Linked DNA regions of Schizosaccharomyces pombe. The gene in region 3 interacts genetically with the main gene of each other region. Each region holds a gene or a part of one and is shown on either strand. Other genes may lie near its edges. The genes, in order: hrk1, rec8 and sgo2.

Region 1 (10,437 bases), 2.7 Mb from region 3:
TAAAACAAGCCATTCGGCTACAAAAGAAAGCATCTGTAATTCCATCTGTTTTCTATGATAACCCAATTGGAATTGGAAAAACCATTCTTGAGAAGAATCGCAAATTTGAAACTCCTTCGCTACCTTTAACGTTGTTTCAAACGCCTCGCACAATTTGCTGTAAACCATCATACAGAATTTGAGCATTTGTTCAATTTGCTTTGCTAGTGACATAAATACCATCTTTACTGTGTTCGAGGTTGACACAGACGTTTTTTTCATAAGTGATTGATTTTTGTACAACCTTCTTTTTGCGCGCAATAATAGTCTACTACGTTCACTGATAAATACCATCTCTTGAGTTACATAATTATACATTTCTTCTGCGTAGCTTTTTGCATTTTTTGAAGATACGCTAATTTTCGTCAAATTAACTGTTACGTCCCCAAAGCTGGGATTATCATCACTCAAGCTTTTCATATAAGTCTTCCATTCCATTGGAGAATCAATTAGAAAACTGGACACCTGATTCTCCATTTTCTGTATTGTGAGGTTAAAATGTGAAGGGATCAATACACGTTTTCTCGTTTAGGTGCGCTGGTAACAACAAAAAAGTAACAAACAAAAGGAAAGTCAGCAAAACACATAATAAACCAACATGTAAAAAAGTGTTAGTGCAATTGCTTATGCCCTCAAATTTGTAATTGAGTGTTTATAAAGTTCATTTCCTTATGTGAATATTCGTATTATCAGTTATGACTCGTTGCTCTGCTTGCGACTTAAGTTTGCTACCATGCGTTTTTCTTACAACAATTCAGAGATTATTTTCATGATGATTGCTACCGGGTTGCATGAATTAACAACTTAGTTCAATTGTTTTGCTTTTACGATCAGTTTACCCTCTCTCATATTGCGGCGATAATCTGATATTTCAGAGAATTTTAGTTTTTCAAATTGCGAAAAAAAAAATTTTTCAACCAACTTGTATTTCATTGCTAGTGGTTTATTTCATTGATTGGTGAATGTGGTTTAAAGGGAAACTGAACGTTAATAGATCATTAAAAAAATTTCTGTAAGACCCCCTTTTCTTTATTTTTCCAAGGATTTTTAAAGTATTTGGACGCTTGAATGACTTTCTATTATATTAGAATTTTAAGACTCCAAGAAAAGCTCGAAGAATCCTTTAAATACGCTTTACGAGTGGTTTTTACGATAACTTCTGATCTGGGCGAAGTTTCATATCCGCAAGATGCAACCGTAAGGGTTGAAGCATTGGATAGACAACAATCTCACAGTCGTATCACAATTTCTAAGCAATGTGTTTCATGGATAGGGAATGGTCACGCGGCTGAAACGACTTTGTATTTTCCTGCTAGTCACCAGCAAATTCAATTGACGCTGCATTTAGAAAATCAGAATTCAATCGTTGATTCTATACACATAAATGCCGATACTGTATTACCAGTTTGGAGTGAAGCTTTTTCACCGAAATCTACTTTACCTAATATGGTATGGCGGTATATCCAAGGCCCAGAAAAAAAGTCACCAAACGATGGTCTCTGGTTTCTCGAACAGATGGGTAACAGTATTGCTAAGCACTTGTGGGATGCCGGCGTAGTTTTCTCAAAAAAGATTCTTTCTGATGATTGGCATTATAGCTTTTCCAATAGAAAAGACATCAATGTTTTAGAACTAGGCTCCGGATGTGGAATTGTTGGTATAAGTATTGCTAGCAAATATCCACGTGCTCTTGTGTCAATGACCGATACAGAAGATGCGATTGAATTTATGGAAAAAAATGTTGAAAAGAATAAGTCTGCAATGAGCAACAACATAACTTCTGATATTTTAGTATGGGGACATGACATTCCTCGAAAATTTCGGCGTCATTGGGATTATATTGTTATGTCAGATGTCATGTACAATGAATCTAGCTTTTCTGATTTGGAGGCAAGTCTTCAGGAATTGATGGATAAGAACACAAAGTTATATATTGCGTACAAAAAAAGACATGACAATGAAAAAACTTTTATGAGCAATATATTGGGATGGTTGGATCTTGTTTACGAAGAACGTGGTCCAATCACTATTTACATTTTACAGAAAAAATAAATTTACTTTGCATCATTTTCATTTTTCTCTTAGGATGCGTTGCTGAATCTGTCAACTTGCGAATCTCGTAACTTTTTTGTAGCAGCATGTTTATATTGAGATGTCTTTTCGGGTTCTTATACACAACGGTCTATAAAATTTGTAGCATCGCATAAAACCAATTTTGCATCTAAACTATCAGCGAACTTGGGAACCCATGTAAACTCTGCAAAGTACATTTTCTGTAAAATTGAATTTCGGCTTCCAGCTTTTTTGAATGGTGTTATGACGACTGGCGCGAATTTAATGATTTAGCATATTCTTTGATAAAAAAACAACTCAACATTATATAAAGCAGTTTCCTTTATTTATTCTGCTTTATTTACCCTGTTCTCTGTATGCCTTGAAACTGGCTCGGCTTACGTCATATAGCAGCGCATACCAAGTGTAATACCCATCAAGCATCACGCACCATCCATTCACCCAAACACATAGAAAAATACAATGCAGCCAAGGTTTCTTCTACACGGAGCGCTTTTGGCATTAGGAATACAGCTTTGTCTGTCAATTGGTAAGTGTTGAGTTGCTTTTCTACAGAAACAGCGGCTGACCCGGCATTGTCTAGGCAAGATTACAGGCCACATATCGTCTATTGAAGCGACTGCAGCTGATATACATGATGCGCCTAGTACAACTACGAAGTATGTTCAGCGAACCGTTTACGCCGGTAGAGAAAAGGGGAAAATAGGAGGACCAGCCGATTCTTGGCCTCAACGAAAGCTTGATGACTTTCTCCAAAATCATGGGGTAAAGTCACTGGACGTTCCTCCTATCGAGACTCCTTCACAGTTTTGGAGGAAGCCATTACAGTATGTATCAAAGGTAACCGACAAATGTAAATCTTTCTATGAGAAGGAGAAGAATCATGCTTCTCATAACGCACAAAAATTGGACGTTTGGATTTTCAATTCATGGACCAACTCCGAGCTTTCTCGATGGCTTATTAAGAATAAGTACGAAGTTCCAGAGCCTGGAACCCGAGAGCAGTTGTTGGAAACAGTTTTCCAAGCATCAATGGGCGATGCCATTTCCACCAATGATGAGTTGGAATCCTGGTCAAATAATCTACTCCTTTCTATGTTGGATCAGAAAAACATTACAGTACCAATTGGTGCATCACATGACGACCTAATCGTCTTGGCTAGACGTTATTACGATATTGAGGAAAGAAAATCGCAAGACAAAGTGACAAATATTACAGATAGCCAGCCTGCACCATATATGAAAGAAATTATTCACTTATGGTCAGACGGTAGACTTATTGATTTTTTGCGAGAGCGAAACATTCCTATTTCTGTTCTTTCACCTCGGGAAACTCTTTTGAAAGAAGCATACGCTAACCGCTTCACACCGCGTGTAATGATTGCCTCCAACGTACTAGATGGATGGTCGTCTGAGGACTTATTAGATTGGATTTGGAAGTACAATAAACGTGGTTCCATATTTTCCCATGTTGCTTACAACTCGCGTCATGAACTTATTCATGCTGCTAAATTATTTTATATGGATGTTGCTTCTGAATGGAGCTCTTCTGACATGGCATCGCTAAACGATTCTTTATACTCACATCCTTCTGTCTCCAAACAGTCTACCTGGACCGAAGAAGAACTCAAAGAGGAATTGGAGTCATTTGGCGAACTTGTCCCCGTTCCATTTTCATCTACCAAAGCTTTTGAACGATTACTTCCCCACCTGTATTACTATTTACGAGGTCCTGCCTTTTTGAACAGAATACATTATTGGCAAACATTCCTGGGTAACTCGCTTAAAAGGGCTTTTGTACTTTCGCAGTAAATACCATTTGTGTCGGTAATGTACCATTGAAAATTGACCACTCGAAGTTGGAGCCATGCCTTGTTCATTAACTGTATATTTCTAGTTTATTTTTTTTTGTTGCCATTTATTATAACAGATACTTAACTCAGATTTGCTTTTTTCTCATTTAGTACTAGTTTATTAAAAATAATAAAATGGGTAGTTTTACGGAACAGTTATAATAATCTCTACAAAGTTACTTAGTATGTAAGTTTTTTTTGCAGAATATTAATGAGGTTGAAGATTTCTCATGAAACAAAATCGAATATGATGAGACAAAAAATGTTTTAATATAAACCCTGATCAAAGTTTTTCGTCTTCTGTTGTTACATTGGGGTCGATAAGTTCGCCGTTCTTTACCTCTTCATCACGTTTTGTAGCTTCAATTTCCGAACGCAATTGCTTATATTCTGGGCTATCATTCCCCACTATAGTTAGCCATTTTTATAAATGTTTGATTCAATTTACCTATTTTTATCCCAAAGTGGTTTTGTAGAATAAAACTGAAAGATTAGTATTTTTATTATTTTGAGGGATTGAATTCTCAGCGCTATATTCAAGCTTGGTTTTTTAATTTTTGAATTATACTTACAGCAGATGCAACACCTAATGTGCAAGCAAACAATAAACCCATGGGACCGCCACGACTCCTTCCGCTCATCATGGTGCACTGTAGTCGGAGAGTCCGAATCATAAACTGGGAAATAGAAAGCCATATTGGAAATTATATAATAGCGACTACAATCATCATAGGATTTACTGAGGAAATAACAAAACATGTACACTCATTTGTGATTTAAACAGTTAATAATTCTTATTTACTTATAAGTTTTGCTAGTCAAAGATATGTAATTTTTTATGTACAACAAAAACCCCACATAAAATGGTCAACTTTAAGAAAAAAAATAACCAAAAAAGTTCACTTCGACGTCCAAAATTTAAAATATAAGTACATATGTATAAGATTTTAGCAACGCATACCATGAAAAAGAAAGGAATATTAAAAAAATGCGAACGCCGTTCAATTTTTTAGTATGCAAAAACCATAATTAGTATTTTTGACGGACCCAATTGAGGAGAGAAGTTGCAGATGTAACTGTAGATTTAGAGCGAATCGAGTCTTCGGCCTGCTGGAACTGCATTGTTTTAACAGGGTCAATAAGCCTAAATATTTGCTTAAGACGACTTCTCATAAGCGTCTCAGTCTCTGTTAACGGCGATGACAAGTTCTTTTTGTGTAAAAGTTGATGAATTAAATAATGCAGCCATAAAACGTTTGTAATGGGAAAAAACTGCGCCCATCTTCCTTTTGTCACTCTAGACATTAACCTATATATATCAAATTGGTAGTCATCTACACCGTTAAACAGATCGGGGTCGTTAAATTCATTGTAACTAATTATACCCTGAGAATACGATGCTCGGGCTAATGTAAAATCAATCAGCGTAACTTGAAGTATGTTGTCAAAATCATCAGCCTTATCTTGTGAGCCGGGAAAATCGACACTTTCAATGTCGTCAAGCGATATTTCATTTAAAAGAAACGAAACTTCCTCTTCACTCCGATCAGCTTTCCGAATAAGAATGTTTCCCCAATGTAAATCTCTATGCTCAAACTCATAACGAGTTTCAACTAAAGAAAGAATTTTTAATGTTTCATAAAAAACCGACCAGCACTCTCGCCAACTACGGAGCTCAAAATGTTCCAGATCTGTTCCTGAATGATCAAGACATAAAACACAATAAAGTTGCGTTGATGAATAGCTATCTGGTCGATCGTTCTCAGAACCATTTTGCATAAGATACCGATCCCATTCTTCTAATAAAAGTGAAGGATAAGTACCTTTAACGACAACTACTTGATGAAGGTTTGCAAAACCGTCGACTTTTATCCATTGGCTAATCTGTACTTCATTTAGGACATCAGCATATTGAGCTTGTCCGTCTTCTCCAAACGGGATAACTTTCCAAACAACGGGAACGTCATCAGCATTGCTGGCTTGGTATACTTCACTATAACTTGCTTCGCCAATTTTTTGGATCTCAAAAGTCTGAGACTTAACAAATTGACTGAATGGAAGAGCGTCTTCTTGCGCTACTATTTGGAGGAGCCGATGAAGTGGATCTAATTTGGAATTATTTGCGGGTTTTCCGGATAAAGCAACAGAAGATGACAAATTTACAACCTCTTTTTTACTGACTACCGACTTTGATGCATTATCCCGAGGAGAAGCCGGTATTATGACAGTAGGTACCAGGTTTTGATTTCGTTTCGCCAATAACTCATTTTCTTTGTATGAACCTTTTTTTAAGAGAATGTTCCAAGATAATAATGAATCTTTTTTCGGTTTAGAGTGAATATGCTCAAGGTCACTTCTTTCTTGGTTATTAAAATTTTCAATGTTCCGAGGTTTCAAAGCACAAGGCCGTTCATCTAAAGAAGCCCAAATTTCAATATCTTTATTAATATATCTACGGTTCTTTCCATAAGTTTTAACTTTTGAACGACTTTCCATATCTTTTCCTACATTTGTAAATATTGAGGTAGTAAGGTACGGAGGTGAGATGGAGAAGGCATGATGTCCGGGCTTAGTGATATGTTTAAAAAAGCATTCTGGACAAAATAAAAAATGCACAAAAAAACTTAATTACATTTTTCTTTAATTGCTTCTGTTAATTTAGCCAGCTTATCCTCCAATTGGGCAATTTTCCAGTCTCGGATTGCGAGTTCTTCCTCATATCGTTTCTCAAAACCTTCGAAACGTTTATTGAGATCGGCCAGATTGACTGCTGAAATATCTTTCTTATCTTTTGAAACATAAAAGGGTTCTTTCTCTTCAACTTTCTTACTTTCGGCAAGAGGAGCAGCTTTGGGTGCTTCGTCAGAAACTTCCAATTTCTTTTCCTCTGATGGTTCTTTCTTTACATCTTCTGAAAAGGTAACAGGGCTACTAGCTGGTTTCGGAAAAGATTTTTCAACAGGTGTTTTCTCACGCTTGGGCTGGGTTACAGTTTCTTCTTTCTGATGATTATCCTCATCACGTTTCTTCGATGGTTCTTCTACTTTTGATGCCGAAGGAGTAGTTGGTTTCACCTCCGGCTCTTTGGAAGGCTTTTGTTCTTCCGCCGATTCTTTCGGCTTGCTAACTGGCTGAGCTTCGGGCTTTGGTGTCTCAACCTTCTCTTCGTTATGTTTTTGTACCTGAGCACCAGCTGAGGGTACTGTAGCGGAAACAGCCTTTTCAACAGTACCTTTAGACTCATACAAAGTAGACATATCTAAAAGATCAGGCTGAGCATCTTTCCCACTGGCCCATTCTTCAGCTGTTAAGCTTGGTTTACCAGATGGGGCTGGAGGGTAAATATCGCTTTGGAAACTTTCAGATCGGCGAGGAACGATGAAACTTATAGGTTCAATGATAGAATCGTTCACGGACTTATAAGCACGCATAACTTCGTTTTCAGAAACATTAACTCCGCGTTTTGGCAAAAAGGCAATGCCTCGTTGGGGATCAACGGACTTGAATTCAGATAAATAATGGAAAACATCGTTTTCATATTCGTAATAGCGAATATTACCATCACCTTTACCTGCTAGATATATTACCTTTGTTCCATCATCCCAGAATGGCATAAGGATTCCCGAACCGGTGTCTAATGTGGTAAAACCACCTATCGGTTCAGACAGATTGGTAGGGTCCCATAAAGCGATTTGACGATCACTCATTTTACTGAAACCAGTTGTAGCAAAACGATCAAGGCTCCCGAGCCAAACGACACGGGGATTTTTAGCACCTGCATGACCATTTCCAACGGAGACTGGTTTATCAGTACGAGGGTCCCAGACGCGAACTTTCTTATCTCGAGAAGTTGTTACAAGTCTGGTACCATCAGCGTTGAACGACATAGACTGGCACATTACATCCATTTTCAGAGATACATGGGCTACACCCTTCTCACAATCCCACAACTTGATAGTATTGTCTGCACTAGAAGATGCCAAAACATTCGCTGCAGTGGGATGATATTGAACAAGACCAACTTTACTATACAAAAAAGTCAGTAACTAAAACCCTAATGCAATGTACGACATACCGGCTATGGCCCTTTAATTCAGCAATTGGATGAACATCTTCATAAGGCTCCATAACAGTATAATCTTCTGGTACTTTCCATATCATAATCTAATTCGTTAATACATAAATAAAGTCAAATAGCAGGATACCTTAGAATCATCACCGCCGGATGCTAATACTTGATCATGGAAGGGATTCCAATCAGTATCTAAAACAGCCGCAGTATGGCCCCGAAACAAATTAACTTGATCGGGAAGCTTTCCTCTTTCGTTTAAAGGGATAACTGCCAATGCACCTCCAGCTCCCGCATTCCAATTAACACTGAGGTAAAAGGGGTTCACACTCAATAGGTTAGAATCCCATGCATTATTGCTAAGCTATTGAAGACAATTAGTAAATTTCAAACCATTAAAGTATCGACCAACCTTTATGTTGTCGTAGCAAAGTTCTTTTTTGCAGGTTTGTCCAAAGATATGTCCTAACGTCAGTTAATAATTATTTACTCAAAAAGCATGCGTACTATATTTACTAGCTCTCACAAATCTTCCACTCATTTTTGAAAAAGAATAATTCCTTTATAAGATCGAATGAGAATTTGCTAATTGAGCTAACTTTATCCGGGGTGTCAGGTAATGAACAAAGTCGGGATCGGAATAGGAAGGAGGACGGATGAGAATGACAAGCACCTAAAGTTGTACTGGTCGTTGAAAATAACCAATATTATTGATAGTAGATATTAAAATATTTAAATTTTGGAAAAAGCAGTTCATTATGAGGAATTGTTTGAATTTTTATAAGGTGCCTTTATAGATTTTATTAAACTAGATATCACACTAAATTTGCAAAATATATACAAAATTTATATTATTAAAATGATCACTGTTTCAAATGTCTTTAATCATTTCAAGCGAAAGCTTTCAAAAGCAAATTATATAAAAAGTAATTGCGTCCAATAGTGTAATTTAGTCGATTCTCATAACTTTTTATGCTAATATGCCTTCAATATTCTCAAAGTATTTCAGATCTCTAAAAGTGTTTTCATTTAGGAAGAAGATTGAGCAAGTTTTTGGCGTTTTCGAGGCGAATCTTCCTTAAGCTTGGGTAGCTTTTTGACAATCTGTTTATACTCATCAAACTGATTTTCATAGGCGTTATGAATTTTTTCAATACGTTCGGACTTATCCAACTGTAGCAACACATCAAGATTTTGACGAAAAATCCTTTCCTTTATTCCTAGTCTAACAGATTTCCGCTCCAATAATGAAAGCTTTTTTAGTTTCGTTGTAAATGCTAATTCACAACAGCGTGAGAATTGACGCTAAAAAAAGACAATTAGTAAGTTGCATTGCATGGTAAATTTAGCAAATTACGAACCTGGGTTAACTTTGTTTCAGCTATTTTCGAGTTTATCCACTGCCTAGAAAGAGAGGGATGAAAGTCAGGTTCTGAAAATATTCCCATTGATAATAATCTTTTATAGTCGCAATGGTCTCTAAGGCTATCAAACGCTTCCGATGCATCCTCAACTGTGAAGTCTAAAATTTTAGGATTTTTCAAAAAGGTACTAACAATAGCATTGTACAATTGCGAACCGTGTCCTTGATGTTGAAAAGGGGGTAAAATCACGAATTGTGAGATACGAGCTCGAATACCATCGTGAATTAATTTGTCCCATTTATAATATTTGTATACAGTACAATAACCACGTAAGCAATAATCATCTTCAGTAGTCTCGTAACTTATTTTTGTTAATAAAACCTCGATAAAAAGGTAAAAGGAAAGTAGACGCGTAGAAAATAACAAACTTACAGTAAATATACCATCCATCTTGGATCATTAAGGTCAATAAAAGAGCCCCCTTCAATAAAAAATAAGGAAAATATTTGCAAATGCTGCATAATCTCACTAGCTTCAAGAACCGTTGCCTATTAATACATTACGATTATTAGCCAAAGAACATATAGGGATATTCAATAATTGAATACTTCTCCAATTGAAAGGTAATCGAACATACTTGTAAAATCTTGAATGTTTTTCCATTAAAGGAATAGTTATGAATACTATTTGCCGAATGAACGTCAAATGAGTTTCCTTCAACCTTAATGGAACGATCTTTTAGATAAGTGTTTAATGTTCCTTCAATATCAGTTGGTTCCACTCCTGAATCTGGTGCTAGGCGCTCTGAATATGAGATTTCCAGTTTTGGGACCATCAATGGGCATTCATAGGTTATCTAATAACTGTTACTATTTGCAATCAAATTTCATGACTAAAACTTGCTGATTTAATCTTACAGTGACATTTAGATCTTTATATCCATAAATAACCTCAGCATCTCCAAATATTGCATATGTATTGCTAGGATGGTATTGACAATCTTTTTCATGCTTTTCGTTTACTGACAGGTGTTAACACA
Region 2 (10,596 bases), on a different chromosome or scaffold from region 3:
GCATAAGCTCGACTATACCAAATTGCTTCAACATATTTCTTTCCAGAATGCTTATCAATTGCTTTTTCGTACAATTTACAAATTACCCCCAGATAAAAGCTTGAGTCTCCATCATGTACAGTAATATCATCTCCAACGCGATATATTACATCGTTTTTCTTTAAAGATCTGTAATAAGAACGTCCAGCCTCTTTTTGAAAGGGCTCTTCAGTCCAAACACCGTAAACTTCCTCTTCGTCAATATCAGAACTGTCAGCGCTGTCATCAGATAGCAGACTTTTATCAATGCCGTTAATTAATAGTTGACTCCTCAATGACTTTCTTCTAGGCATATTAAGAGAAGTTCAACACTAGTTTATCAACATTGCAATGGTCAAAGTTATCCTGAGTTGTAGTGCTGGACTAACAAGACTCGTATACTATAGAGGCTACTGTCATGCTATGTACAACAGCCAACAAATAATATACCACAATTTTAAGATATAATAATTAGATAAATTTGGTAAGTAGTTAATTAATTTTAATTATTTATCCGCTAGCATTATCATTCATTAATCTAAGAAAAGTGTTATACTATACTATTTAAATGTTATTACATAGTCAATTATTTTGACAACTTCAACAAAGGGTTTAATTCCCAAATTCAACGTTTTAAAAATTTTAAGTTTAACATGTGAAAAGTTTCAAATGGCATCGGTGCTTTTTAGGTTTAAAGAGACACTAATTTCAGAGTATGGTTTATCCTGTTTAACTAAAAATGCAGACTTAGTTGCTAGTGCTATTGTTTTGTTAGTTCGTGGTTTGATTGTGATACTTACACAGTAAATGGCTAAATGCCTGGGCCACTACAGGTCGTTTTAAATCATTGGGTAATAAGCTTGAAAATGTTATGCGCCCATTATTTTCATAGATAGCCGTTTTTGCATACTCATAAAAGTTTGCGCATTCTTTTTCCATGCTCAACATTAAATGTGCATTTTCTTCTTGAGTATTTTTGTATAGTACGAAGTCATCAGAGAGTTGTAATGAAAGTTCTGAGTTCAGAGTTTCATGAAATTGACTTGATTCTAAGGCAGGAAGAAATTCTACCCTACTCGGCATCGATGGGCTATGCGGCAAGCGCTTCCTATATTTAGTGTCAAGCAAGGGGGTGGAATGCTCACTACCAGTTTGAGAATGGCTTTTAGAATTTATGGCACTGTTTGATCGAGATGAAGTATTCCAAGGTATGTTTAAACCTAATTCACCCTGAACATCCCGTCCAACTTCAACTTCAGAAGTATCAATGTTCCTCAATACATCGTCAATTTCAGAGGGAGTATTGTTTGATGGTTTGAGCTTTTCAATCCATGGTTTTAAAAGAGGATGGAAAGATTCCCAATCAAAGAATTTGTTCAATTCTTTCTTCTTTGCCGAAGAAGCTCCTCTACGACGAACATACTTTGTTGCTTCCAAAGCAATCATTCGTTCAACATAATTCTTTCTCCATTGGGACAAAGTTCGAGTAGACAGTTCTATGTTTTCATCTGGCTCCAGCAGTTTTTGGACCTTTCTTCTTTTTAAAGCTCGCGGTTCATTTTCATTATGCTCTGAATCCATAACAGATTGCAATGGAACGGGTAACGGTAAAACGTCCTCATCGATTTCGAACATGTGAATCCTTGATTCTTGTTCTTCACTATTGTATTCTCTTTGAACGGAACCAAGATTGCTATGTTGTGAAGCAGCTTGTAGCGACGGATCCGAATTTATAGTGCCCTTGGTCAATTCCTGGATATCCCCGTTTTCATCAAACTCAAAGTCAAGGGGCTCTTCTGTAGAGAAAGCTCTGGAGTCCTCGTAAACAAAGCTCGAAACATTGTTTCGTAAACTATAATTTTGGCTGGTATTGATCAAATAAGAAGTAGAATCTGGAAGAGTTTCAAGAACTGAAATATTGGGATTTTCCTTGGGTTGAGTGAAAGAACTCATGTCAACATGTAGATCCACAGAAGGTAGATTAAATGCATCGTAGAGACTAACTTCAGGGATAAATGCAGGATCTTCTGCGAGTAGTAACTGCTTTGGGCTAAAAGGTTAGCAATTTGAATATCTGTCATATTATCCAATAGTACTCGTACTTCGTTTGTTCATTCTGAATATCGATATTCTTAAACGGTTTTGAAGTGAAATGGTCCAATTCTTTTCGAACACGTAAATGAAGAGTTGAAACTTGGGCTAAGCATAATTAGTAAGAAAATTGCCAGCCTAAACTACTGTCATCACATACAATGGAAAAATGAGTATTGATGGGCCCATACACGCGTTACACCAATCATTAAATTACTACTTAATCGTAGTGCCAACGGTTCTGGAGAAAAGGCAACAAAATCGCAAGCTTCATCGATATCTACCGACATAATGTCTTTCTTGTGAAGCTTGCGTAATGAATGTTTTGAACCCAATGTAGCAGCGAGCCTATAATTATTAGCTTTATTATTATCTTGTAGTAAATCTATACCAAATTACTCCCATTCCTCCCTTTTCCTTTGTAAGAACATCTTGATTGTAAAACATGGTGAAAGACAGGAACGCGTTAGTTCACCAGATAGCTTATTAAACGCGTCAAAATTATATTTGAAGTTCAAGCATAGAAATACCGCATTGTTAAACCATATGAGCTAATCTCACATAAAATCGTTATTAACGAATACTTAACAGCTCGGCACATGTTATCCAACGTATACTGCAGTGAAGTCTCCATTGCTAATATATATTGTCTTATTAAAATCTAAGTAAGGATTGAATATTTAAATATCATTACTTTGATTGAGTCAAAACACAATGTAATGGAAGCTAATGATTAATAATTGAGCTAAGATATGTGATTTTAGTGCCCTTTCAATCTTGAGCTCTCCTACCAAGGTATCCATAGTTAATATTGTACAAGCAATTTCATTATTGTGCCACTAGATCGAATAGAGATTATACGAATATAACAAAACTTAACGTAAGTTGACATAGCTTATTAAAAGATCGTGGAAATTTTTAACGCACTATTATGCTGTGAACGATGTTTGTATAATAGGTTAAATAAAGTCATTCAAGTTGTACTAAGAAGTTTGAAACTCAATAAAAGAATTTTAATAATAATGGTTAAACATTTCAACATACTGCTTGAAACCATTCATAAATACCGAAATTTTATCTATCTTTCAACTGACATTTATTTGTATTGATAACACATATGATTGCTAGTTATAAAATGTTTCATTAATGGAGCAAACTACATAATACTCAAATCACCAAACTTTTCACGGTAGCCTGGGATGACCCATTTGCCCTTGGTAACCATTGTTTCAACAATCTTCTCAATTTCGGGAACTGCTTGTTTCATATCCTCAATGGTAATTTCTTCAGTAGGCCTAGCTTGTTCAATGTTCTTCAATGTAGCACTCAAATTCTGTAATTCAGCTTTGACAAGTTCGACATTCTTCTTAGCACCCTCGCTAGCTTTTGCTTCAAATGCATTGATCGCTTTGAGTTGCGAATTTAAATCAATCTTCACAGGTTTAAAAGATTTCATAGAAGACTCAATACGATTTACAATCTCCTTGTTGGCTAAAACACTACGATAGGTAGCAAAGTCGACTGTGGTAGCCTGCTCTCGCAATGTACCCAATTTGGCAACTGCCTGAGCATGACGAGAGCGAAAATTAGCAATAGCAGAAGCAGTTGCGGCATCAAGCTTCAGCTTGCTAGCTACACTAGCCCAATCAATCGCCTTTCCAGCAGCGCTAGCAACTTTCGACATTTGCGTAAATAAAGAAGAAAAAATTCAAAATTCAATAAAATAACAGTTATATTGTTAAACAATTTAACTGTCTTATAAATATTTCCTGCTTTTGGTTATGTGTTGAAGAGATGGGGGTAGTTGGGGAACGGATGATTTAGCATTGCCAGAGCCATATTGCCAGGTGGTTTGGCTTTCAGCAGTAGGCTTCCTTAATGGTTCAAAAAATATCATATAATTGGGTAAATGAAAGCAACAAGTACAAAATTACTACAAAAAAAAAAATTAAGCGGTTAGAATAGAACTTGTGCCCTACAATTAGTATACGCTCCACTCATTCTTGTGCTAATAGAAATTCAAAGTTAGCTGTAAATTTTGATTTACCGGTGTATCACCAAATCACTTTGTACTTCTCATGTTTAATTTAAGATTTCATTTTTGAATGTCGAGAAAAATTATTTAGTAATTGGTTTATTGATAATTTATAAATAATATAAAAGAATTACCATAGTAAAAAGGAAAAAGAAAAGTTCTAAACATATTGCCATAACTATAGTTACTCGCGTAAACGTGCTTCCAATTCTGCTTTACGAGCTTTACGAAGCTGTTCAACCTCATCTTGACTAGTGTTATAGCTCACATTCATCTGAAATTGTTAGTAAAAATGATATTTACAATGGTTTTCCTGTTTAGGGTTTATACATGATATGGTCATCATCAAAAAGAGTATGCATGTACCCTTATCGCTTCTTACCTTATTGAAAGGATTGTCCGGATGTTTCTGAAATTCTTTATACATTATGTCTTCATATTGGTTTAAACGGAGGCCCGGTTGTTCTTTGCGTAGTTCAGGCAAACGAGATTGTTTGTATTCTGTCAAAGCTGCTTTAAACCGACGTTCAGGATGACGATCAATTTTATCTTTGGACGATGAATTGTTTAAACTTAACAAATCCAAAGCATCATCAATATTGCGGGCACTATATGAAGCTGTCTGAGGGGTTTCGTTGAGGAAAGCGTCTAAAGATGAATTCTTCTTTGCAGCCTTCTTTGACCCCTTTCCTCCTTTAGATGGAAGACTCTCCATTTCTTCTTTTTCTAAACGTTCACGTTCAGCTTTCCTCTCCAACGCAGCTTTTCGTTTTTCAGCTTCTTGCTCCTTTTTATTAGTTTTGACGCCCTTGGACCATTTTTCGTCTTCTTCAGCGTCTTTTTTTTTCTTTTCCTCGTCTTGTTTTCTAGATTTTGCCGCTTCGGCCTTTTCTGCTCTCTTTTTTGGATTCCCCATATCAAGGCTATTAATGGTATGTGAGATTTGAATGACTTGAACAACAGGTGATTTCTATATGCCGCCTCGTTATAAGAAAGGCGACGAAGGATGGATTAATAATCTGATCTGATAATTTTTATAAGTGAATGTCTCGTTATATCTCCCTATTTTTATCAGTGTATTTACAAAGGTGTATTGATAACACTGAACAAACGGCGTCAAACGTTGGTATGTAACTGAATTTTTATCACTAAAATAGAAAATAAAAGTTCTTAATTGGAAATCTGCTACTATTTATTTCCTTAAATGCCTTGATGCAGGCTAAGGGTATATTGAATGGTATAGACACTGCATAATACACCATAAATCCTTTTTATGACATGATGGCATTCTTAACAGTGATAACTCATTAAAAAGAGAAACAAAGTCAACCGATGTAAATTGATCATACTCTTCAATTACAATATTATATCATGACAATTGTTATGGACTTCGATGTGTATTTCATGAAGTTTGAAAAAGTAAAATATATCATCAAATTAAATGCTTATTCTTGCCAAATTATTCAACAATATCGTACAGTGAACAATTGCTTTCAAGTATTGATTAGTTTATTGTAATCTATATAAGTATTAAACTTCATCTTCGATACAAATAACGTACAAACTAACATTCCGATCATCTTAATTGTTAAAGGAATTAATGAATCTATAATTCTAAATTATTTTTTTTAGCACTTAAATTTACTCATCCTATTATTTACATTTACAGTATACGGTTTCTTAACGAGTATACGCTATTATTATGCCGAAACATGAATGCATATCAATTTTGGTTCTACCAGCACTGTTCCTCTATTTTGAAGGGTTTATAAGTTAAAGTCAAGTAAGCATTACCTCTGATTATTATTTCATTTTATATCAAGTTCTTAATCAACGTTCTTATTTTTTTAATTCGTGTCTCTATATTTTGACAATTACTTGAAAACTTGTCATACGACAAAGGTAAAGAAGGAATTGCTAGCATTTATAGCTTTAAAACGATGTATATTTTCTATTAGGGATATATTGTTATATTTTTGACTCTCAACGAATACTTCGTACTCGGTTCCTTCGATTGCTGTTTATCCTATCTGATATAAATTTGAAAATTTGAATTAGACCCTATGCTAACATATTCTTAGTTACATGTATATATAGAATTTTTTTTCGTTTAATTTTATTTTTGAAAATTAAACTTTTTGATCACCTTTCGTAAAAGTTCCTTTCGATGAGCTTTCTGAATTCTTGGAGAGCTGTTAAATATACAAATAAGCCTAAGGAAGAAGACATCAAACTCCCAAATTCTGCATCAAATCTTCCAACTACTGTACAAGCATGTGTGATACAGTTTATCTCTTCTCTAGTTAGTCCGGTTCACCCTCAATTGCTTTCGCCTGAAGAACTAGCAAAAGCATTTCAAAACTTTTACAAGCATACCGATGAGTTTATTGCTTCAACCCTTATCCCTCAACCCTCTTCAAAAGATCAAAATGTGCCTCTTTTGTTTCCTGAGGAAATAGATGCTCAGAAAAAGGCGAGACAACACTTGCTGAACCAAAAAGATGAATGGATGGACCAAATTGAAGATATAGTTTGCGAATATTTGTATGATCGGTATGTGATTACTTCGCCTACAATAACTGTTTACTAATATTGTGTTAGGATTTTCTGTTTATCTACAAGTACGGATGCTGCCAAAGATGACTTGTTAAAAAAATTTATTGCTTCTGAAGAAAAGAAAGAACTTATCAATTGCATTCCAATACCTGATGATGAAAAACTTACAAACCGGTTACATGAAGTCTCTGAAGCATTTTTTGCTCTCGATGAGCAACACACACCTAGATCGAAAATAAACACTTTTATGACCGTTAATTCAAGTATATTGAATGCCTCTCAACTTCCTCAAGAAGAATTGAATGCTGATTCTTTATTAAATTTGACCATATATTGCATTCTCTGTTATCCCGGATTTCATTTAATATCGCACCTGAATTTTGTGTTACGCTTTCGAAATGCAGATTTTTTAAGCGGAGAGCAAAGATACTGTCTCACAACTTTTGAGGCAGCCCTTACTTTTATTCTTCGAGCTTGTCCAAATCTTTTAACTCAATCGTCAATTCAACCCTCTGATGATCCTCTTTCACTTGAGGTAGCTAATAGCGAAACAGTTTCGACCTCTAACTCGCTTCATGATCCGAGTGCAGAACCCTACCCTGTGAATCGCTCATCTTTATCTAATTTAAGAAATCTGGGACTAGCACTTGAGAAATCTTATGCCTCTCTACTTAGTAAAGTAGCCAATCACACTGCCAAAAGTTCAGAAGATTCTTCCAATTCTGTAGAATTCGTGGGCGACCCACCTTTGGAACGCTTTTTGACTGTTTCTGATGCTAGCGATCTTAAAATCGGTGAAATTGAACTTCTTCTTTCTGACTATAAGCGCCTCGCACGTTTGCTTTTTGAGAAAAATGGTAATCAGTAATTTTGACTGAATATTTTCTTTAAAAATTTCACATCCAGTTGGTTTTCGGCTTTGTTTATGGTTATTTGATTCATTTGAGAGACAAAGTCATATAGAAAAGTTATATGATTGATCAATATTTTTTTTTTCTTTGTTGCAGGTCAATTCGTGAACAGCTTAAAAGTTTAAAAGAAAATTTTTATTCAAAACAAGGATTGATTATTCCTTGACGTCTATTTTATTAATGTATGAATATCACAAAGAACTAGCAAAAATGATTTAAGCTTGTATGTTGACGCAAAGATTGCATGCGAATTAAATCCTTACAAAGGAAATATATGAAACGAATATATCATGTTACTGCAAAATTTTTAAATATACTGAATAAAATGAACTGTGATTCTTTGCTCAGTGAAGAAAATAGTCATATTTGAAACTAGGAATTAAACACACAATCACAAACTTCGGATTATAATGGGTAAGAAAGTTTTTTAAGTTGTCACATTATATATAGTAATGTTTAAAATATATTTCGGATAATCATATATATCTTAATTACAATAAAGAAGCGTGATTTTGGTACATGAATTTATATACACTTTCAAAATATACGTTCATTTTTTTATTTAAAATTTCTCTTAAGGCTATTTTATTTCAATGCGATAATCGAGTGCTGTGTGGACATCAAATGATTGGTTGCACTAAATGTTTATAGTGAATAGTGTAATTTACTTCCTTAGAAACCTAGATTTTGAAAAATTGCAGTCGCGCTTTAATAAGTCTACTTCGAGAGTGAGAATGCAGCATTAGCTTGTGGTTATGGAAAATGACGAGGCTTTTGATAGATTAATAAGAAAAATTCAGGAAAATCAAAAACACCCATCTTTCGAAGGGTCCAATAAAGTTTTGCATTTGGCGCTTTCATACCTAAATACTAACAGACAAAACCCTCATTGGGTTTGTGATCCTAAATTACAAGTAGCAGTTCGTGAATGTCTTTTTCTATTTTCTTTTCAAAATGATAACGAGTATCTGGTATGGTTCAAAAAACATTTGAACGAACGCCTTCAGTTATGCCCCAAATGTATAGTTAAATATCACCAATCTTTAGATGATTTCAAAAGTCTATGTTTAAACATTTTTCACTTTGACCCAAATACTCTTGAGATTGTAATGGAGAAAATTTATAGTTGGGACATTTTTCGGTTACAGGAAGTTCTCAAAACAGTGCCTAAAATCGACACGTCCTCGGCCTCTAAACCTATACTATGCGCCTTCTACGAAATCTTATACTCTCCTCGTATTTTACATAATAAAGAAATCTTTCCCTTGTTCCGAAACAGATTTCTTGAGTCCGGTTTTCTTCGGCTCTCGAAAAACCTAGTGCCAGGTGTCATAAGTCTTCTCTTCTCGAGAGATGATGAGCTCCGAAGATGGGCTTGCAGTATTTTAAGTGATGTAAAAACAATCTCCGATAATGAATTTAAAATCCTTGAGGGTCCCCTTCTTCAGGAAATTCGTTCTTTAGACCAGAAGAAAGAAAATGAGAACGAGATGCAAATTTTTCTGAAAGGTTTATCGTTGCTGTTAAAGCATGTTGATCATCTTTATTTTAGGGGACTTACAGGAAAAAATTTCAATGTCGCCGATTTTATTCTTTCGGGATTGCAAAGCGACCATACTAATTTATGTCCGTCTTTCCTTGTATGTTTACATTCTTTGTTATACTGCTATGGACGTAATTTTTGGACGCCAGAAATTTCTCCCAGTGAAGTAATAGATAAAATTTTTAATGGTAATGCTTATAAGAGGTGGACAGAAGAAAATACATCCAATTTTTCAAACGACCAAAAGGCAGAGAATCCGTTTGAATGGGCTACCTCTCTTTTGAAGACAATTTCAATCATTGATGAAGTTGAATTAATTAACAAAATTTTGATTAATTACACCATGCAATATAAAAAGGAACTGGAAGTCGGTTTCAAAAATGTTCAGTTACTTCAATCACTTGCTGACATATTTTCAGTTTTGTTTTCCGAATATTTTATGATTTTCCCCCATAGTGATCAAAGTTTACAAAACAAAGTATTTGAATTACATTCCACTTTAGCGATTAAGTTTGACGAGCTGTTTCGTTTGCTAAACTTGGAAAATGAAGAGTCTGTTGAATGGAGGCTTATTAAGAAAGTTTTTGAATACCGATTGAATTTAGATCTTTATATTTTGAAGCAATTCTATTGCCATTATTTGGACAGAAATAGAAAGCCACCCTTGAATATCAAATCGGTAAGTGAGTCTTTTAAAAATTTTTGGGTATATTTGCAAAACGTATTTCGAGAGGAGAAGTTCTTTATGGTTCGTATTGTTTTTCGTGCTTGCTCTACAGTTTGCTTGATTGATAAGTTGCCGCCTAAGAAAGTTGACATTCCGTTCAAAAGTGATTTCGAAAATGCACTAAACGGATTTGTTGCAACATTTTCTGAAATGCTTATTCAGACTCAATGTTGGCATTTGTCGGCACAAACCCAATTGGTTTCAAATCCTTTAACTTTTCGTGGAATCTTTTCACTCGTTTTTTCTCCAATTCTTGAGATCTCAACAGGAAGTATCTCAATTATTAAATCTATTTCGCTTTCTGACAGCGTTGTTGATACTATAGGAGAGCTATTGAGAAGCCAGTTTTCAAATACACTAAATTCTTCATGTTATGTTCTTCTGCAGTGGCTTAAAGTCAGAAACTTTGGAGGAGCCAAGCACATTGTTTATTTTAATAAATTAATTATAAACACTATTTTTGACTCTGTTGATGGCTTAACTTCTAAGGATGCGACTTTTGCAAAACAAGTGGAAAAGAAAGAATCCCTTAAGAATTTCTGGGAATCGTTATGGAAATTCTTTACTCATTTTTTCATTGTTCTTCCTACTTGGCCAGTTCATGATAAGGACAATTTAGTTGATTTAATGCGGGATACCCTTGATTTTTGCGATATGCTCATTAATATTTTTGAGGAAGTTAACGGATTCATTTTTGGATTATCGGATAACGATA
Region 3 (11,393 bases):
ATCACTTTGTGTGCTACTCTATCGGAATCATGTCATTATTTATACAATACAAATGAAACACTACTTTGAATTGCTTTTAGGATCACCGTAAAAGAAGAAAATTGTATTTGCTAAAACACTTAGAATTGGATAGCAGCACCCTAAAATGATTGTTAGTAGATGAAATAAAGAAAATGATCGATAATAAGGATGAAACTCAACAAAAGACAATTCATAAAAGCGCTTTGCAAAATTTTTTTTCTGGATTTGAGAGGTATTCAACCACGGCAAAAACTCTTTTACAAATTCGTCTAAATCCAATCCACTCGTTATCAGCATTCTTCGACATACCTTAGTCTTCTTTTCACCACCAAGCTCGAAATGCTTGCAACGCTTCAAAACCAATTGATTCTTGTATTTGCAAGAGACGCATTCCAAACGAAGGACAACCTTCTTGGTAACCTTAGCCTTCTTGTGGAAAACGGGCTTAGTTTGACCACCAAAACCACTTTGCTTGCGGTCATAACGACGCTTACCCTGAGCAAGCTTGGAATCAGGTCCCTTCTTGTATTGGGTGACTCTGTGGACAGTGTGCTTGCGGCAGTTCTTACCAGGACAGTAAGTCTTACGGGTCTTGGGAATGTTCACCATTTTTTGATACTTTTATAAGTGATGGTTAGATGGTGGTGATTAGGAACTCGACAGCATAAAGTTTCTCTGCTAAACCCTTGTTGTACAAATGTGACTGTTTCTTATTCCTCTAGGTTAGGTTTACTTGCTGCTGTAATGTCGTTCAACGCACTGTTCGCAATAGTGTGAACAACCGATAGCTACCCTAAAAGTGTTTACTGCGTAAGATCAAGCTTGCAATATATCAAATGTGGGCCAGCAAACAAAATTTCTAAGCTACATTGTTTTAGTGCTGGAATTTCAATCCAACTTTGATTCTTCTGTGAGGGCTTTTTAATGTAAAACATGCGAAAATTATTGTAGTAAATTTCTATTTTTAATCACTAGTTGTTACCATCGCTGCACTCCAAATCTTATATTTATCGACTTCACTGATTTCTTTATGCAAGACTTGGCACAGCATCCGAACAGTATGAGATATTGCTCCACCAAAAGTTTAGGAAAATGATGTAGATATCACTATGTAAATAGCGAAATAGCGACTTAAAACAAGTCAAGTCAGGCTAAGCAGTATTTCCCAATTATCATACTTCATCGACACGTCAAAGTGACGCCCCAAATTAATCTGTACCTAAATCCATAATTGGACCTTGAGTATACTATATATTTAGTGGTAGCGCCCTTAAATCCTTTAATTACAAAACATTTATTTTACAAAATATTCACATTCATATTAATCTTGTTCTAACTCAAACTAAATATTAATACAAGAAATGCCATCCTACACTCACATGCCGTATGTACGCCCTAGTGCAATTCTCTTGGGGATTGCCTTCGACCATGCTGCTTCTTTCCTCGTTTATGGACCCCTAATGGGCGATATTTGGAAAAGGGCAATGAGCACTGCACCTCACGTCGAATATGACGCTGGAAGTAAAACCAAGAAGGTTGCTACAACTTATGTTAGCAATTTCCTTAGTACAGCAGTTCAGTCGTACTCGATCGCTGCATTGTTGCAACTTACAGGCACTGTGACACTCAAAGGTGCCTTTTTCGTGGGTCTTTATGTATTTGGTGCATCTGGATTGCCCGACGTAGTCGACTATATGTTCACAGAAAGCAGAGGTACCCCTTACATCCTTGTCAAAACTATATCTTCTCTAGTGAAATCAGTAGGCTTAAGTGTTGCCTTGATCGGTTACGGCGTACGTCGTATTTAAGATTCCGATGGTTCAATATCTGATTTTTAAAACGACAAGTTAATCAAATTTTCTTTAATATCTAAGATTTCTTTTCTGTGTTTATCTCATATTTGGTTAGACTGTAAGTGAAAATAGTATCCCAATAGTGGTATTGGACAACATCGAAGCTTCCTTTGCTTGTTATAACTGTACATATTAAGGTATGTTGTAACTCTATTCAGCAAATCCTTGATTCACAAGATTTGCATCAGTCCTAGTGTAATACAGGGTAATTTCTCTCGTAACAATTAAAGTTAAAAAAAGTAAAAAAAAAATACACAAACTGGCATACAATCATTGCCAAATCGAATAAAACTTATGCACATTAAGTTAGGCTTGTCTCTTCAACATCTTCGGCATCTTCGTAAGCGTCATAGTCATCAGTGGATATCGTATCGTGTCTTACATGATGAGTCACTTTACTCATCTGTACATTGTTATCGTACTTAAGATCAGTATTCTCAAACACTGTATCACTAGAACTTTCGACTCTGTTATCGGAGTATTTAGAAGGGGTTTGTTCATCATCTGTTTCATGAGCTGTACTACGGACGATCGGCGTCTCATATATATTAAAATCAGGTTGCTTCAATGGCTTTGGAGTTGCCAATGGACTGCGTTCTAACATAAAATTCTCTGTATCCACCTGTGAACCGTAGTCTATTTCTGCAACAGTTGCTTTAGCAGAATTATCAGGCACAACATGTTCGTCTAAAACAGTGTCACTCGATTCCTCAATGAAACTACCTCCATTTTTTCCATTGCGTTTCGATGACACAAAGTCATCCCATAGAATTTTACGTACTTTTTCATCTTGAATTGTTCGAATTCGATCAGCCTCTTCCGCTCCTCCGATCTTATTCAACTTTTCGTTCTCAACAAAAGTTTTAACTTCTTTTGAAAATTCATCTACTCGTTGCAACAGTCGTTTTTTCTGCAACAGTTCACTACGCTCAATAGCCTGTAGTCGTGCTTCACTGTCGGGTTTTAGATTTAGTACTTCTAGCTGAATTTGATCACGATAACCTTTAATCTCAGACTCAGTGGCAGTTTTCAAAGTTAAGGGTTTGCTTTTAATGGAGGACTTGGCTTGCAATTCAGCTATCGCGGAAACATTTGAAAGGACAGTGGATAATGCGGAAAGATCCCTCTTAAGATCTGATATAAGAACAGTATGACTATCCAGAAATTCTTGCTCTTGTACAATTGCATTTAACTCTCGTTCCCATTGCTTCTTCCAAATTGGAGTTACTTCCTCAAGAGATCTTTCAAGGGTTTGAATCCTTTTTTCCAAGTATGCGCTTTCCTCATTTAATTGAGATGTTTGATCTAAGCCTGGTCGTACTTTGCGCAACAGCACATCAGAACGCATAAGTTCAATCTGATCATTTACCTCATCAAACTTTTCAACTACGTTTTTAACTTCCCGTTCAATCCTGTCCTTGCTGCTTAAAACAAATCCTCTTCCAAATTGGAAATCCAGAGATCCCTTTTCATTAAACGCATTTATCTCTTTCTTAAAATCTTTTATCTTTAACGGAATCCTGGTGAAGAAAGCAGCCGAAATCTGTTTAAGAGAAGCCAATTCTAGTTGCATATTCTTAACTTGTTGGTAAAACTTGTGGTCGATACTATCAGGGACAGAAAAGTTATTTGCCAATTTTGAATGGTCTTCTGACGATTTGAGTGCAGCTGAGTCGTTGGTGTGATTAGTTGAAATATTTTGCTCAATAGCTTTCAAGCGCTCAAGAATTTCTGTAAAAGCAGAAGAAGGACTTTCATGAGTGGTAGTATTAACATGATCATCCAGAGTGTTTTGTGCAGATGAATGTTGAATAGCAGAGACCTCACCGGAATGGAAATCTTCCCTCTTCTTGTTAGCATCTTGCTCTTTAAACATAAAAGAAACTAGTGACTTGTATTTAAGGTCCGAGAGATCTTCTAACAGATAACTTATCTTAGTATCGGGGTCTTCAATATTTAGTTCATAAGAATCGCCACTAAATGAAATTTTATATACATTACTGAAAAGTTCGCCCAGCTCATTTGCGTTTGATAGAGGACTTTCAACCTTGACTTTTCGGGTCTGGTTATTGTAACGCAAAAAATAGTATTTTTCCGTATCTACCCCCAACGGTTTTGGGAGTGCCTTTTCAGTCTGAGAAACAACAGGAACCTTTTCCGGCTTTGAAATAGGAGTTTCACTTGGAGACCCTGAAACATTAGGTGGAGCAACGGTAGGTAAAGGAGAAATATTGGAAACAATCGTAGATACAGGAGCAGTAGAAAAAGCGGTAGATAGGTGGACGGCCTCGGGAACGATGGGAACATTAGTAGTAGGAGAAGTAGCAGATACAAGAGCCGAGGATGGCGGCTCCGTTATTTCAACAGGAGAGGCAGGTTTCTTAGGGTAGACATCAGATACAGTGATAGTAGATGAAGGGTCGTTAATTAATTTGGCAGATGCGCCTGTATTTGGAGTCGATTTATCTTCTGAATCCTCTTCAACCTGTGTCGAGTCATCGTTAGAGATTACATAGCCTTTTGTATCTTTCTCGCTCTTAAACTCATCTTCAGAACCAGACTCTTCGGATGAATATTCATATTTATGGAATTTATAAGATGGTTCATCTTGTTCAGCATTGTTTTGTTGTATAAGTCTTTCCAGCTCTTCTAAGGAATCGTTTTCAAAATTTGCTAAACCTCCTTTTGTATCTGAAGTGCTTATACTCGTACCAGATTCAATTTTTTCAGAACTAGATATCACCGGGGCTTCTTCCTTTCTTTCAGTTATTGATTCAATTGCAGTAACAGCAGGTTCTTTTTCTGCAATTTCATTTGAAGCTGCTTCAGGGACGCTACTGCTAGGTTGTATTTCCTGTTGAGTAGATGAAACTTGGGGTAATGAAAGTTTACCTTGTAAGCTTTCAATTTCAGAGGTATCTTCTGAGGATTCTGCTTTTTGAATTTGTCTTTCGAGGAGTTCCCTCTGACTTGTGGCATCCGTCTCAACCTCATCAGCGATATCTTCCAATTTTGGCGAAGCAGCATATTCTTCAGTTTCACGAATGGAATTCGGCGAATTCAACGTAGAACCATCATCTGCATTAAATTGTTTTTTGTTAACAGATAGTGTTGAAGAACGACCTCTGGGCAATAAAATCGGAGTACTAGATGGAAGGACTGTAGCAGATAATGGGCTATTAGGGGAAGAGATAGTCCTTGATCGTTGGGGAAGTGGCGGAGCGACTTCTCCGTCATTGATGGTTGAGCTACTTAATATTCTATGATCAGACACGCTTCTAGTTACATCAGTTGCACCCGGAAAAACATTACTTCGATTTGCTTGACTTATTCTTAAAGAGTTAGAACGAGAGTATACATCCTTTTGTACGAAAGAACTGGGGCTTTTTCGAAGAGAAGGGCTTTTTAAAGAAGTGGGTGTTCCAGGATCTAATGATTTAGTCAAAGAAGGTGTTCTAGTAAGTTTTGGTGAAAACTTTCTATCAAAACTTGTATTTATTGTAGGTCTTCTTGAAAGCTTATTTGAATCATGACTATCTTGTCTAACGATAGATGGCCTTTTAGATACTTTGGGAGACGGTGAGTCCATTATATTGTCTGGCTTTGAGGAATCACGAAGAAAGCCTCTGACAGATTCAACAGTGATATTCCTCAAATTCTGAGAAGATCCCTCATTGTTTTGCTGGTCTTTTACCATGTGTGACAGTCGTTTGCTAGCTCGGCGTTCGAGAGCATTTGTCTGCTTCAATGCATCAAAGGCTCCAGGAGCACTTAATGAGGCACTCGTAGTTTCTTCATATTGCTTTCTCGAATCAGGATTTCTAAATGATGATATGCTTCCTTGGGAAGAACCACGACTATTACGGCGATTAACATCGTTATCATTCGCTTCACGGGTCATTTGAGGCAAATTTGACCTAGATTGATTTAATCTGGATTTAACCAGAGATTGCTTATACTTCAAGCTTTGTAGGAGGTGCATAACCAGCTCCCTTACGTTAGGAAGATTGGTCTCCAAAGCATCAGAAGATGGTGTTTTTTCCAGTGTTTGCTCTAGGACTGATCTGAGTTCTAGCGGAAAATCATTTAAATCTGCAGTTTCAATACCAGCTTCATGAAAGGACTTGGTTGTCTGAAGGAATTCCCCTATTAGAGTAACATAAACGGATGAAACAGCACTATCATTAACTGTACCTTTGCTCCAGTTTGTTAAGCTTTCAAGAAGCTCCTTTGTTACAACTAAAAGCTTCATTATCGATGTCTCGATTGTACTAATTAAATGAGACGCTGCATCTCTTGACAAAGGGCTGTTGGACGCGCCATTAGGTACAGGCTTCCGATTTGAGTCGGAAGGGACTAATCTTCGAGAAAAATTTGCTCGAGATTCAGTCTTTTGTCTTTGCATTGAATGATTGGAAGAAAAACGTTCACGAGACATATTATCGCCGTTATTAAACATTGGTCCCAATAGATGAGTAAAGCAATGATCCTAATCGCAAAAAAAGGATTGAAAGTTCAACTTAAACTTAAAACAATAAACATAAGAGAAAACACAAAACCAATTAGGTTTGTTATATACAAAACATAAGAATATTGACTTATTAGACTCAGTTGCGTAGGTTAGTACTTCCACCGAGGGCGATCGAGGTACACTAGAAATGGACTACTTGATGAATGTGCTAAGGTACATAGTAAATTGAATTTGTGAGGATTGCTAAGTAATTTTATAATATATTTACACACCTGTTTATTGTATTTAACTAACCAAACCATATATTTGTACATAACGTTAATGACAAGAACAAAATGTGAATAAACAAAGAAAGAAGTAATATGAAATACCAAAGGTTAACTCCCAAAATATTGACTTTTTATTTCAAATTGACGCATACCTCCACTTAAAAAATCTGAACCAACTAAACGATGTCGAAAGGTATTTAATTACATAATATTACAAATTAAGGGTTTCGGAGTTTTCAAGGGTTACTTCTGAAGTAGTGGGTGCTTCAGAAGTAATGTTTGCGGTTTCTGTTTTGGTAGCTGAATCATTCTCAGAGTTCTTAGGAGCACGTCTCGTTTTTTTAGCTTTTACATGATCTGAAGGTAAATCGAAATTCCGTCTTAATTTCGTCCTTAATCCAGGCAAAGCGTAATTAACCTTTTTCCGTTCCCTTCGGCTCCTTCCATCAGGTTTTTCATTTGGCTCATTGACTACTGTACTTTCTTCAGAAGTTTCTTGAATCCGAGCTTTTCTTCGCCTTTTCACTTTTGTTTCTCTTCGCGACTGAGTTTTCGTCACACGATCGTTCTCATTAGGGGATTTCAAATTCGTTACAGATGACAGAAGTTCCAAATTATTATAGGAGCCCGTATCGTTGGTAGCAAAGGAGCTACGTGACGGCTCAATTTCGTAAGGTCGATCTTCAGCATTCAATATTCCTTGTAGCGATGGCGGACGTAACGGAGAATTATTGGGATGGGCTATTGAAAATCCATTTGAAGATGGAGGTTCACTTGACAGTCTCATGGGAGGATTTCGAAAAAGTGTTAAAATTTCCCGCTCTTCGTCGGTAAAAGATTTAGGATTCAGTCCAATTTTGTTAGAGTCATTCATTATTTCTACAGAAAATTTTTCGTTCCCATTAGTGACAGAAGAGTCTACTAACCCGTTTATTTCCCTTGGAGTGTCTGTACGAGGAGATTCAGCAACAGTCATATTTGACAGAGAAGTCGTCGTAACCTGAGGCCCAACATTCTCTTGTGAAGTTAATGAATTATGCGCAGTATCTTCAGGCGCAAACTTCAACGATATGGAGCTATTTAAATTAGGATCTGAAATATGATGCCCATTTCGGTTACTTTTATTTGAAGATTGCACAAGAAGGACAGCAGAATCCAAAGAGTTTGCGCGATTGGGGCGACTATCGGTCTCCGATACATAACCGGTAACATTGGTAGCTGCAGAAGCCAGATTAATTTGTTTATTTTGAATGTCAACGTCCCATTTCCGTTTAGTGGGTGTACTTTGTATTACTGTATCAGATTGTATTCTGCTATGAAAATGAGCTTCTTGTGAACCCTCATTTTCTTCTTGAGCAACTCCATTTGCATTATCTTCTTCGGTTCTTCTTTGTGCAGCTGCTTGATTATTAATTTTGTTGGATAATGATTTTGGACTAACGATTTCGTATTCATGATTTTTTTCCTGAGGAGCAGAATCGATAGATTTATTTTCAGAAGTAACCGCTTCAACTCTATCTTCATTATTATTATTTACAGGTTTCGAATTGGATAGATTGTAAGGATTTTCAAAATCAGCTGGGAGGGCTTTGCCGGATTTTAGCTGAGGTGCTGATTGCGTGTCGGAAAAAACATTAGCTTCTCTTTTTTTTTGTTCATTTATAGCAGTTTCTCCGTCATCAATTATATTTTCATCCTCTATTCCACTTAAATTTCGTAAGGAAACATCATGCTGAGCTTGCTCAATTATTTCTTCGGTATCTTTCACGACGGATTCCTTTCAGACGTTAGATAAACATATCTGAAAAACATAATACGATTCAACTTACCTCGTCAAGGTCTTCAGAATCCGTATCGACATCGTAAGCTAAGTTAGCCTCCACTGGTTTGAAGGTGTCTGTGTTCAATTAGCTAAAAACGATATGAATTCAAACACGTACCTTGTATTTCTTGCTGACAAAGACTTAATTTTGATAAAAAATTATCTGTTTCTTCATGAAATCGATTAAGTAATGCAGCTAACTTTGTTTTGTTTTCTTCGTTTTCGTTTTGCACGGTTTCGAGTTGCTCTTCCAAGTTTATCGCTGTAGTCCTCAAATCGATATTTTCCGAAAGCAACCGTTCATTTTCTAACTGCAATTCTTTAATTCTAATTGATTGTGCCTTGCTTATTCTTTGTATGTGTTAATTAATTATTCAATTCCAACAAAAATGTATGCGTACCGTATAATTTCCTTATACTGTCGAATTTGCTTTTTTTTCACTAATTCATCAGTTGAGATTAATATAAGTATCACGTACAGTCTTCTACGTTCGGGGAAAGAGATGCTTTCGACATTATAAATAGAAAATCCCGATGTACTTCATTGACCACGTTCCCGGTGGAGGTTTAGTACTTAAACGCGGCTGTACAGCAGTATCATTATCAACAAGGTGTAGAGGTGCTGGATAGTCGAAGTACGAATTATTTGACTACTAATGATACACTCTTTGAAAAGAACATTAAAATCCTTTTACATTTACTATACTTTGAATTTACGAATAGATAGATAACTAAAGAAAGAACTACCATTCACTAATCCTTTCAGTGGTATTAATAAATGTTCAAAGAGAAAAATAATTAGCTATTAAAAATATTAATTATTAAAAATCAAGCTTGATTGAAATATGTCAAAACGAGTAGTACATGGAGTACTTAGTCGACATGTGATTTAGTCGTGAATTAATCTTGACCACGAAAAATTATTAATTAAATTCAATCAAATTATAACCCCCAACTTTCCTCTACGTTATTTTCTGTTTCCTCTTCGTCATTCCAGTTTTCCATCCAAGATTCGTCTATCTGTTCCTCTGTTTCAAAAAGAGGATTATTGAATTCATCCTTAGAGTTTTCAGTGTTTCCAACAACTCTACTTTTTGAATTTTTTTTTTCTTTTATTTCAGTGGTATCATTTTTTAACTCAAGCGACTCCTTTTTCATATCGATAGAAGGCGAAGGAGAAGCAGAAGATGAATGAATAAATTTGGACCAAAAAGAACCATTAAATTTTGCCGGTGCGGAAACATTTTCTTTTTCCCCTAAATTAAAGTTTTTTATACGGCTCAAAAATTGGTCAGTGACATCCTCAGCTGTTCTTCGTATTCCTCTAATAACGTCAAAAAGTTAGTAATTCCTAAGTGGTATACAGGTTCAAAAAAATCTTACTCGTTTTCATCAATTAGTAATGGCACCACCGATGGGAAAAGTTTGATGGCCACATCCTTTGTATCAAAGTAATTTTGAACTGAGAGGAGTACTTTTAAGGCTGCCTCTCTAGCAGGAACAAATGGGTCTTTAAGAGAACGTGATAAAGCAGCAGCTAAAACGGGTTTTCGCACCTAAATCTGTTAAAAATAAAGTCCTAACGTTTAGTTCTTCTTAGTCTTACGCTGGCATCTAAATATTCAGCAATTTTACCTAGACAAATGGTACTGTTGGTACGTAAAGTAGGATGTTGGTCATTTTGGACAACCGCTAAGCTTCGTAGTAGTTCATTATTCAATGTTTTCTTCGAAAGCTGTATACTAATTAGCAATTTGTAAGATAAGATGGCTTACTTTTGGTGCTATAATGGAAAAAACAACAATAGCATGTTCTTTTAAGGTGGGAGAATTGGAGCGCACAAGGTTCGCGAAAACTGAAAAGCTAGTGTCTTCATATATATTCTTTGGTAGCACGTCGGGATTGTTAATGATTCCGGAAAGTAGCAAGCCTCGTATGGGAACGCTTTGTTGTTTCAAAAGAGACAATAACGGTACTCCAAAGTCTTTTTCTATATCCGGTCTTCCTTTTACAATTTGAGCACATTTGAATAGAAGCTCAACGACGTCCGAATGGGTGTCAATCGATAATAGTAGAAAGAGGATGTTTAATACAACCTTTTGTATATAGTTTTTAGGAATTACTTCTAGCTTTGACGAAAGAAGTTGTTTTAATTTCACTCTATCTTCCTCTTCGTTTATTCGAACCTCGGACAAAAGTTCATATAACGTAATCAAATGTGTACGAAAAAACCCCCCAGGACGCTCGCCAAGTTTTAGAAATTCTGAAGCTAATAACTTTTGCTTTCCTTCCACATTCAACAGTTTTTTTGCAGAAACAAATATATTGGCTGGAATGTTTCCACGCTGAGATAAGTCCCCTGGCGTTCCATTATAAAGATGAGAAATGAACTTTCCCAATTCATAAGAATCCAAGTAAATGAATGAAGCACTATTTAATGTTGAAGACTGAATTTCAAACGGAACCAACCGACTCCAGTTCAGAATTTTGTCATGATTATCCTTTATAAATTGTGGTGAATCACCTGCTAAGAAAAAGTCGCCTATTATCCATTCATCTGCACTATTAAGATAAACAGAAGACATTTGAAGGTTTCCATGAACAATATTTTTATCATTGAGAAATGACAATGCAGCCTAAACACGTTTAAATTAGTTTTAATCCACATTTTGAACTCAAATTACATACCGAAACCCTCCAAAGGCCGTAAGTTTTTATTTCCGCAGATAGTTCATTCAGTTCAGTTGTGACAGGTCTTACAGTTTCCGTTGCAATGTACAAGTGAGTGGACTGAACTATTAGTAAATAGGAAAAATATGTAAAGGCTTAGATTAGACTTACGCTTTTATAAGTACTTAGATATTTGATTATACAAGGATGACGAAGGGTCTTCATTGTCTCACAAGCTCGGTCAGCAAGTTCAGCCCATTCAGGATGAGTTGACAGAGAAATAGAGA

Evidence for each region.
Region 1: mutations in sgo2 (region 3) and hrk1 impair growth when combined (synthetic growth defect), as found in Schizosaccharomyces pombe (2 studies listed by BioGRID, with this or other methods).
Region 2: of sgo2 (region 3) and rec8, changing one enhances a phenotype caused by changing the other (phenotypic enhancement), as found in Schizosaccharomyces pombe (one study listed by BioGRID).

Annotation. Positions count from the first base shown.
Region 1 is NC_003424.3:1,030,320-1,040,756, reverse strand, and holds hrk1 (haspin-like kinase Hrk1), read right to left. Parts: upstream 6,462-10,437; coding exon 4,995-6,461; 3' UTR 4,765-4,994; downstream 1-4,764. Other genes in the region: karyogamy protein Tht2, read right to left, coding at 1-516; efm6 (methyltransferase), read left to right, coding at 1,108-2,091; nuclear bridge Ish domain protein Les1, read left to right, coding at 2,575-2,641, 2,696-3,924; SPOM_SPAC23C4.04C (uncharacterized protein), read right to left, coding at 4,249-4,360, 4,414-4,724; coronin Crn1, read right to left, coding at 6,590-7,991, 8,041-8,129, 8,171-8,398, 8,447-8,499, 8,542-8,575; histone acetyltransferase Hat1, read right to left, coding at 9,064-9,339, 9,396-9,759, 9,831-9,946, 10,036-10,254, 10,316-10,419. UniProt on the Schizosaccharomyces pombe protein: Serine/threonine haspin-like protein kinase involved in cell cycle regulation. Acts in chromosomal passenger complex (CPC) targeting to centromeres by phosphorylating histone H3 at 'Thr3' (H3T3ph).
Region 2 is NC_003423.3:2,560,898-2,571,493, reverse strand, and holds rec8 (meiotic cohesin complex kleisin subunit Rec8), read right to left. Parts: upstream 2,557-10,596; coding exon 2,501-2,556; intron 2,492-2,500; exon of another isoform or gene 2,458-2,491; coding exon 2,270-2,457; exon of another isoform or gene 2,218-2,269; coding exon 2,121-2,217; exon of another isoform or gene 2,069-2,120; coding exon 819-2,068; exon of another isoform or gene 779-818; coding exon 684-778; 3' UTR 501-683; downstream 1-500. Other genes in the region: origin recognition complex subunit Orc1, read right to left, coding at 1-332; atp7 (F0-ATPase subunit D), read right to left, coding at 3,266-3,793; oxidative stress transcription coactivator/ribosome recycling protein Oxs1, read right to left, coding at 4,329-4,418, 4,527-5,060; guanyl-nucleotide exchange factor Muk1, read left to right, coding at 6,312-6,697, 6,746-7,568; ATP-dependent RNA helicase Dbl8, read left to right, coding at 8,367-10,596. UniProt on the Schizosaccharomyces pombe protein: Involved primarily in the early steps of meiotic recombination. Required to ensure reductional chromosome segregation.
Region 3 is NC_003424.3:3,711,746-3,723,138, reverse strand, and holds sgo2 (shugoshin Sgo2), read right to left. Parts: upstream 8,998-11,393; 5' UTR 8,953-8,997; coding exon 8,916-8,952; exon of another isoform or gene 8,878-8,915; coding exon 8,838-8,877; exon of another isoform or gene 8,788-8,837; coding exon 8,555-8,787; exon of another isoform or gene 8,512-8,554; coding exon 8,444-8,511; exon of another isoform or gene 8,392-8,443; coding exon 6,826-8,391; 3' UTR 6,554-6,825; downstream 1-6,553. Other genes in the region: rpl42 (60S ribosomal protein eL42), read right to left, coding at 120-140, 331-630; SPOM_SPAC15E1.02C (uncharacterized protein), read left to right, coding at 1,383-1,829; bud6 (actin-interacting protein 3), read right to left, coding at 2,176-6,333; protein kinase domain and HEAT repeat protein Ppk3, read right to left, coding at 9,379-9,760, 9,820-9,992, 10,043-10,171, 10,212-11,072, 11,125-11,226, 11,278-11,393. UniProt on the Schizosaccharomyces pombe protein: Involved in chromosome cohesion during mitosis and meiosis by preventing premature dissociation of cohesin complex from centromeres after prophase, when most of cohesin complex dissociates from chromosomes arms.